Linked DNA regions of Rattus norvegicus. The protein of the gene in region 1 binds, or shares a complex with, the protein of each later gene. Links are inferred from orthologs where the notes say so. Each region holds a gene or a part of one and is shown on either strand. Other genes may lie near its edges.

Evidence for each region. Proteins that work in one complex are often made in the same cells at the same time.
Region 2: the proteins of Aagab (region 1) and Ap1s3 are in contact, whole or in part, in a crystal structure (PDB 9DDT), measured with the Homo sapiens proteins. The link is inferred for Rattus norvegicus from reciprocal best matches to the Homo sapiens genes AAGAB and AP1S3. Residues at the interface, in NP_078942.3 of Homo sapiens: Asn51, Lys52, Tyr53, Tyr54, Glu108, Val109, Met110, Ile111, Gln128, Ile132, Gly135, Phe136, Glu137, Asp151, Phe153, Pro154, Glu155, Arg161, Gln164, Ala165, Asn167, Ala168, Asn169, Val170, Met176; in NP_001034658.1 of Homo sapiens: Arg10, Gln11, Lys13, Arg15, Gln37, Leu40, Ser41, Arg61, Tyr62, Ala63, Ser64, His85, Val88, Asp92, Phe95, Val98, Glu100, Leu101, Asp102, Ile104, Phe105, Asn106.

The regions. Positions count from the first base shown.
Region 1 is NC_086026.1:72,977,309-72,981,568, reverse strand, and holds the start of Aagab (alpha- and gamma-adaptin-binding protein p34), read right to left. Parts: upstream 2,801-4,260; 5' UTR 2,767-2,800; coding exon 2,694-2,766; intron 1-2,693. Other genes in the region: Iqch (IQ domain-containing protein H), read left to right, coding at 3,043-3,093. UniProt on the Homo sapiens protein: May be involved in endocytic recycling of growth factor receptors such as EGFR.
Region 2 is NC_086027.1:88,402,700-88,406,199, forward strand, and holds part of Ap1s3 (AP-1 complex subunit sigma-3), read right to left. Parts: intron 3,325-3,500; coding exon 3,187-3,324; intron 2,076-3,186; coding exon of another isoform or gene 2,031-2,075; exon of another isoform or gene 1,885-2,030; intron 1-1,884. UniProt on the Homo sapiens protein: Subunit of clathrin-associated adaptor protein complex 1 that plays a role in protein sorting in the late-Golgi/trans-Golgi network (TGN) and/or endosomes.

The DNA.
Region 1 (4,260 bases):
AGTTACTTTTCATGATGGTCTCCATCTTTCATCCCCAAATTAAATTCATTCCCTGAATACTGTAACTCAGTCTTTAATGCCATCTTCGGCCCCGTCCCTATGACCTTGGAAGGAAGGACTGACCAGCCCTCTTCACGATTTACTTATTTAAATCATCTGCTGGCTGCTCTGCTCTTCTCTTGCTGACTGGTGGAGCACTAATGAGTGGCACCTAATTCTAACAAGAATTAGTTTCCTAAGGCACTTTGCATACAGAAACAAAATGGGCTACTTCATAGAACCTCACCCTCCAATAATGTTCAGAGTCTCTACTGAAGAACAAAGGGAGAATGTCACCATTTGCTGGCTATCGGTGATCAACCAGCTCTTTCAAGGCAATGACCAACCACATTTACCAGTTCTGATCTTTGAGAAACAGGACAGGGCCAGGCATGGTGGGCTCAACACTTGGACTACAAGTACAGAGCTGGCCTAGGAGACATAGCAAGACCTTGTTGGGGGATGAGAGGAAGACAGAGCACCATAGTTATCAGAATATATAATATTCCTGAACCTGCCTTTGAAAGATCATTCGTCTATCACTAGTGGGAATTTAAATGAATATACATTTTATAAAAAGTCAAATGACATAACAGATAAACACCTTGAGAAACCTCTGGTATATTCACTATATGGATGTACAATAGAAAGTTCCTTCTGACTTAATGCTAAAAATAAATATCAGCATAGGGGATGAGGCTGTGACTCAGTAGTAGAGCACTTGCTTAACATGCACAAGACACTGGGATCTATCACCAACAAAACACACACACACACATCCCAGGCTAAAACCTACGTATGAAGTAGAATTATACAGAAACTATGCAGGGGCCCAGGGAAACTGCAAAAAAGAAAAAGAAAAGAAAAGAAAGAAAGAATGAATGAAATATTAGCTAACATTTTTCCCCATATGCTAAATTTTAATAATTCAACATGAAGTAGAAGGGGCAAAGATGAGGGACCTGGCGGGGGCGGGGAGGGGTACTGCTTAGGGGAAGTAAGAGAAGGGTGGAGAGTTTGGTTCTCATTTGTAAGTGCTGTAATTAAGCTTTTGCCCTAGCAAGGAACTTCCCATGTGGTCACGATAAGCAAATTATAGAATATTTGTGCTGGAAGGGCAGCGTGCCTGATTTTGTCGACAGGTGTAACAAATAATTACAAACCGTATGATGCTCTTCACAGGTTATGACATATATGCAAGTCAGCATCCACTGTCTCTCCAAACACCTGTTCATGTGCCCCCTTTAAGGATCAGCAAGGCTGGGTTAAACAGGTGATAGGCAGTTATAACAATGCCAACCACTTATCCGATGCTTGCCACATGCTGGCCTGTGGTGAAATATAATCCTCACACCATATGTAGGAACATGAAGGGCAGAGGTTAAGTCACGTGCCCACAGTCAGTGAGTCACAGAACTGGTCAGTGACCTGGCTCCTTAACTCTATCTCACGAGTCTCTCTGAACTATATTTCAGAGCTCGTTTTGGGGTGGGGGGACTGGGGTTTCTCTCAGAGGTAGAGTGCCATGCTTAGTATGCACAGGACAATGGTATTGAAAAACAGAGCACACACTTGTGTATGCACACAAAGAAAGAAAGAAAAAACCTTGAATTTCATAGCAATGCTTAGGGTCCAGAAGCAAAAGCACTGGATGCAGTAACACCTCAAACTCATTCTGGTGGAGACCTGCACCGCAGGAGGAGCACAGGAAATCTAACTGCAGGTGAGGGTGCACACGAGTATGTATGTACGTGTATATATACATCACACACACACACACACACACACACACACACACACACACATGTATACCAAGGGGAGTCAAGAATGCCCACAGCTCTCATTTCTAGAAGAGTAAGCATTTATTCTGGAGCCAAATAAGAGTGATCATGAACAGGAAACAAGAATCAGGGTTGCCTCAAATCAAATGTTCCAACATAGTAATAACAATTTCATAATGTTTTTAGAAGAACAACAAAGCCATAGGTCAGGTTGTTTTAAAAAATACTTTGATGGGAACATCAGGTAGGAGGACTGCAGTACATCGGGGAACCTCTGCTGTAGGCCTCAGATACCATCTGATAAAATTTAGCCTTTGGGTTGATGGAAGCTAGGGGTCTGTTTGCCTATTCCCAAAAGGATTTTACCCGATAGTTACAAGGATATTAGGTCAGACACGGAGGTGGGTAACAAACTGCTAAGAAGGAGACTAAAGAATCTGGCTATAGTTAGAAAAATTCCAGCTCTCCACAACCACAGGCGTCCTGGTCGGTCGATCACCCTGCAGAACACTAACGCACGTGCATCTTTTTTTCTGAGCACTTCAGTTCACAAGAGGAAACACTACCCCAGCAGCAGGGACATAACCCTCAAACACAACACCACAACTCCAGCGCCTTACATTCGTCTAAGGGCACAATTTCCGGGGCCTTGGGTATCATGTTAGGGGGTGCTCCCTAACACCACCCCTGAAGCAGCAGGTCGGAGACTGGCCTCACTTTACACAGGAAGAGGGTTGAGCGCGGGGCGCGGACACCTTCGGAGCAGTCAGAGCCTGAGGCCCAGCTCCGGTAGTGCCCGGGAGAAATCACCGGCCCTGAGCCCGGGGCTCCGAACCGGGCCTTGCAGCCCGGCCCAGGAGCCCGGTTACTTACGTTGCACCAGCCGGTCCCCGGTGAAGGTGGCGGAGCAGCTGGTGACCAGCGCACAAGGAACACCGGCAGCCATCGCTGCAGCAGAGCGGGTTCCGCGCCGGCGCCGCTTCCGCCTTGGGCCGCACCACTGAGGCCGGCGCGCGGGGGAGACGCTCCGGGCACGCGCTCTGGGCGGGGCCGCGCGCTGGGTAGCGGAGGCGCGAGCTGGCCCTCAGCTCCCCCTTCCGCTCCTCCTGTGGAGCACGCCGGTTCCGCGCGCCGCGTTGCTATAGTGACTGGTGCCTGCTTCTAGAAGCGCTCCGGAGAAGGCCATACCTCCGGAGCCAAGCGCCTTCTGCCTGCCTCAGTCATGGCTCAGGCCCAGGAGCTCAACGACCCCATTGGATCCATCCTAATCCAGGTGGGAAAGAGGCCGGGCTGGCGGCCGCACAAACCTCCCCTTGAACCCCGAAACCTGTGCTCCCTAAGCACCACCATTCATTCTCGGCTACATAGCAGGAAACACCTACACTTTAGGGCATTATGTTCTGGGGGTTGAACCCAGAACATGCTAGGCGAGCGCCAAGCAAATGCTCCACCGCTAGGTTGCATTGAAAGATCCTAGCTCGAGTCTCAGGATGGCACGCCCTAGGAAACACCGATCCCGAATGAGAGACCCTTTCCAAAGTCGCGGGAAATCGCGGACCCCAGACACAGAGAGACCATTTTGGATGTAATAAGCAAAGGCAAGGTTTATTACAGAGATCTATTACGGGGATCTCCGGGTTGACACGTATCCTGCGCAGGAGACAGAGGTGTCGACCCCGAAACTCAAGTCAGGAGTTTATATAGGGAAAGCTAGGGGGTTTGGCGCGGTTACACACAATTGGCTAATTTTTGGCGCGGCTATAAGTGATTGGCTCATTCAAACAGACAACACAGCAGAAGAGTTCGTGCTGACTGGGGCGTACAGGACTTTAGAGTCTAGGGGCTTATCAGGGTTTGAAAGACATCTGGTTAAGGTGTGACTCTGAGTAAGCTGGGGGAGGTGCCCTTCTGTATCTTTATGGCCTGTCAGTCTTGGCTGTAGGGCAGGCCCTGCCCTGCCTGGACAGTGTTTAGAAACTTACTCTTTTAATTTTATATTTTTAAACCTTAAATCTGTATAATTTTCCTTTTATTCCCCTCTTCTTCTACTAAGTAATTCTAATCTTAGAATTTTGATATCAAATCTCGTATTTCGTCTCACCAGTTGTCCTAACTGACTGGTACTGTTGTCTCAGAACCATCAACCGCACAGCACCCACTCAATTTTTAACAAAAGCAATTAACCTGTTTGTCATGCAGGGTCCAAAAACTAAAACCAAGAAAATTATTAGTAGTGGCCCAGCTGTAGCAGAGAGTAGGGTAGTCATCCAGGGAGACCGAGTGAACCAAGACTCAAACCAACCTTGTTGAGCGTCTCTATCTTTTTGTAGGAGTCAAACCTATTAACTAGTTTCTTTAACACACATGGACCTATAATCAGAAGCAAAAGCAAAACTAAGAAGGGTCCCATAAGGGAAGATATCAGAGTAGTCATCCAAGG
Region 2 (3,500 bases), on another chromosome or scaffold:
CTGCCCTGCGTTAGCATGAGGTGACTCAGGGCCTGAACTCTGTCCTACCTGCCCTGTCTGAGTCCTGCTATCGCTCCAGGAGCATAAGGAAGTCATGTGAGGATTTGTTACTTTCTTGAACTTGCCACTGAAAAGGGTTGGAACCGACTTAAAACTGGGACAGCATCAGATCTTTGTCCTCCCCATGCCTTCATGAGACTTTGCCTCGAGTCGGATCGTGGGACCCACACCATGGTGTGGCATTTGTACCTCACACTCAGCCCTTTCCCACTGTACTGTAGTTTTGGTTTATGCTTTGAAGGTAGAAGTGTTGGAGCTCACCAAGCGGTACCTCATGCATCACGGATGTGTGAGATGGCCTGCTGCTGGAACTTCATTTGACCTTCCCCTCTCGACAAGGTATGGTCTATAGAGATTATCCACTAATGGCTGCCCCCTACTGGTAATTTTGAGAATTACAATGTCTACTCTTGAGTCTATGTTTCTGTCTCTATCAGACTACCCACATTGCAGCTGCTCCCTCCCATATAAATCACCCTCTTGGGATGATCAACATCTAACCTGAATACACTCAGACTAAGCTTTGAGCACCTGGGGCTTTGAGCCTATTGGGTCTTCTTAGGAAATATGTGAAAATAACTTTGGTTTTCCTCCCCTGCCCTATGAAACCTTCACTAAGTGTAATTGGGGGAAGGGGGTTCTAAGAGCTACTTCAGCTACTTTAGTTGTTCTAAACCAGTATTTCTCAACTGTGGATCACAACCCTTTTAGAGGTGGAACATCAGACATCCTGTGTATCAAATATTTAAATTACGATTCATAAGGGTAACAAAATTATAGTTATCAAGTACTAACAAAATAGTTTATTTTGTGGCTGGGGGAGGGGTGTCACCATAACCTGAGGAACTGTATTTAAAGTTCACTCCATTAGGAAGCTTTCGAACCACTGTTCTAAAGGGAAGACAATGTCATAATGGCCTTCCTTGGCCTCTACGGATATGTGTTTAGGACATATTTGTTCCTGAAGGTCAAGAAATAAAGGGGCCATCTTTCTCCTTTGTACAATCTTAACATTTTCTCCTACACATTTCCTACTTCCTGAAGCAGAACAGACAGGTATAGTCAATTTCTCAACAAGCCCCCCCCCTCCAAAAAAAGACCCTTGACATCTCTGGAGGGGATCCCAGAACCCATGAGGACACTAGCAACACTCTCATTGGCCAGCTCTGTGCATTCAACAAGTGACATTTAAGGTCAGCCACAACCTTTCCTGCTTTCTGGGGCACAATGTTTAAGCCAGGGTCTCTGAGGAAACCTTTCACACTGCCCGTTCAAATCACCAGGGACAGGAACGAAGCCATTAGTGCCTCACTGAAAAAAGGGCTCACTCCTGAAAATGCCTGGTCCCAAGATTTAAATGTAACTTGAAACACGGATTCACTGAAATCCCGTAAAAATTTGTTTTCTGCAGTTAGAGGACTTTGAAATAACCTAGGTATGCCTTGACCTCAGTTCATGAAGCTTTAATTACTGAAGTGCCAAAGCCCCCGTGGAGACTCTATAAGGAGCTCCCCTCTTCTGTAAGGAGTTTCCATCTCAAAGAGCAAGAGGAGAGCCTCAGAAACAATCCCCACTTCCTACTCCCTGCTTCCCTGCCCCAGCATATTTTAATAAATGCTCTTTTGTGGAATTTCCGAACCACTGATTTCTTCGGTACCTCATAAAATCCCACTTCTTGTGGCATTTGAAAAAGTCAAGTAAGACTCAGAGAGGTCCAATATGTTTCTTTGAGGGGACAACACCTCTAGCAATAAATGCATTAGCCTAAGGAACGCAGAGCTGCTTATGAGAGCCCACCCTTCGCTTCCTTCACTTCTACTCACCTGAGGATGGAGTCCCTCCATGGGCAGAAGTAAGTAATCAGCTCACAGTACTGCCAAGACAGCTGCTGGGAAATCAGGCCTAATGTCTTATTAACTTAACCAGTCTCTTAGCTCCAAATAGCAGGAAGAATGACTTTAGCACCAGTTTTAAAAAGGTGCTTTATAATTCTTGAAATCCTCTTGACTCTTGACCTGTTATGAAAACAGGAAGATGGAAAACCCACTGAGGCCAGGGGTGGTACATGCCTGTCATCCCAGCAAAATGGGAGGTTGGCAGGAGGATCGTGAGTTCAAACCCAGCCTGGGTTACACAGTAAGACTCTGTCTTTAAAAAAAAAAAGAAAGAAAGAAAAAGAAAAAAAAGAAAAGAAAAGAAAGGAAAGGAAAAGAAAAACAAAACAAAACAGTAGAGTGGAGGAGACAGGGAAAAGAAATGTCCCTTTTCCCACTGACATTGTTGGCGAGGTGGGACAGAATCTAGGCACCTGGAAACACGCTTGGTTTAGGACTAGTCAGAAGTTCCTCATTTTAGAAGGCAAGAGTTGGTGGAAAATCGCGATCTTTTTGAGTGTCCTTGTAGACGCTGATGTAGGTTATGTTCCCCTATTAGGTCTGATTCAAATCTGGGATGCTTCTAAAAAGTCCCAGGATATTTTATGAGCAATCACGGAGTCAGAAGGAGCACCAAGCACAGGCTTCAAGACCCATTTATACCTGTGTAATCCAGTTACCAACGCTCCTGATTTATTTATGCAAACAAGAGTGCACAGACCTAAGGCCTTCCCAAGAGAGGTAGGAAATTTCAATTAAAATGACAAATGCCATCTCCGATGACGCAGCTCTAATATTCCCAGCAAATGAAATAACTAGGTGCTGCTCTTCTCCCATCCCAGGGCAGAGCAGGTATTTTAATGAAAGCCTTTTTATGCATCTCATAAAAGTACATTTGCAAAGAATAGCACCAAGCATTTCATACACTTCAGAGGGTAAGATATTTTTCAGACCCCGAAGTTCAGCTGAACAGGGCAAGCAAAGATTCAAGACCAAACTGTGAGGGCCCAAAGCTCTGCTTCAGATTTATTAACTACGAAAACGAGCAGGACATTTCAACTCAAGTCTCCATTCGCTCGCTATAAAACAGGCTAACACCTAGTTAGAACTGCTGAGATAATTGACTAAGCTAACACAGGTATATTATTTAAAGTAGAAGCTATGCTCAGAACAGATTGTGGGTGTAGTCCCCAGTGTTAACTCTATGATAATTAGTCCTGGAATCATCCCACACATAGAAAACCATACTGACCTCTTGTAACATATCAGAGTCTTCAATGGCCTTGACCGCTGTTTTCTTGGATGTTTCCTGAATTTCTCCACCTATTATAAACTCGTCAAGGATAAAATATGCCTTCTCAAAATTAAAGATAATGTCCAGCTCACAGACCTGGCAAGGGGGGGAAAAAGTTTAGATAAATTTGTAGTAGAATCAGGAAGGCACCTGCCACCGTCCCCCAGTTTGCCAACATGGCCACACGATTCAGGTATATCCAAACGCAAAGCATCACATGGCATTTCACGGGCATAAAGATGGGAGCAGAGAAACCCAGACCTTAACAAAGG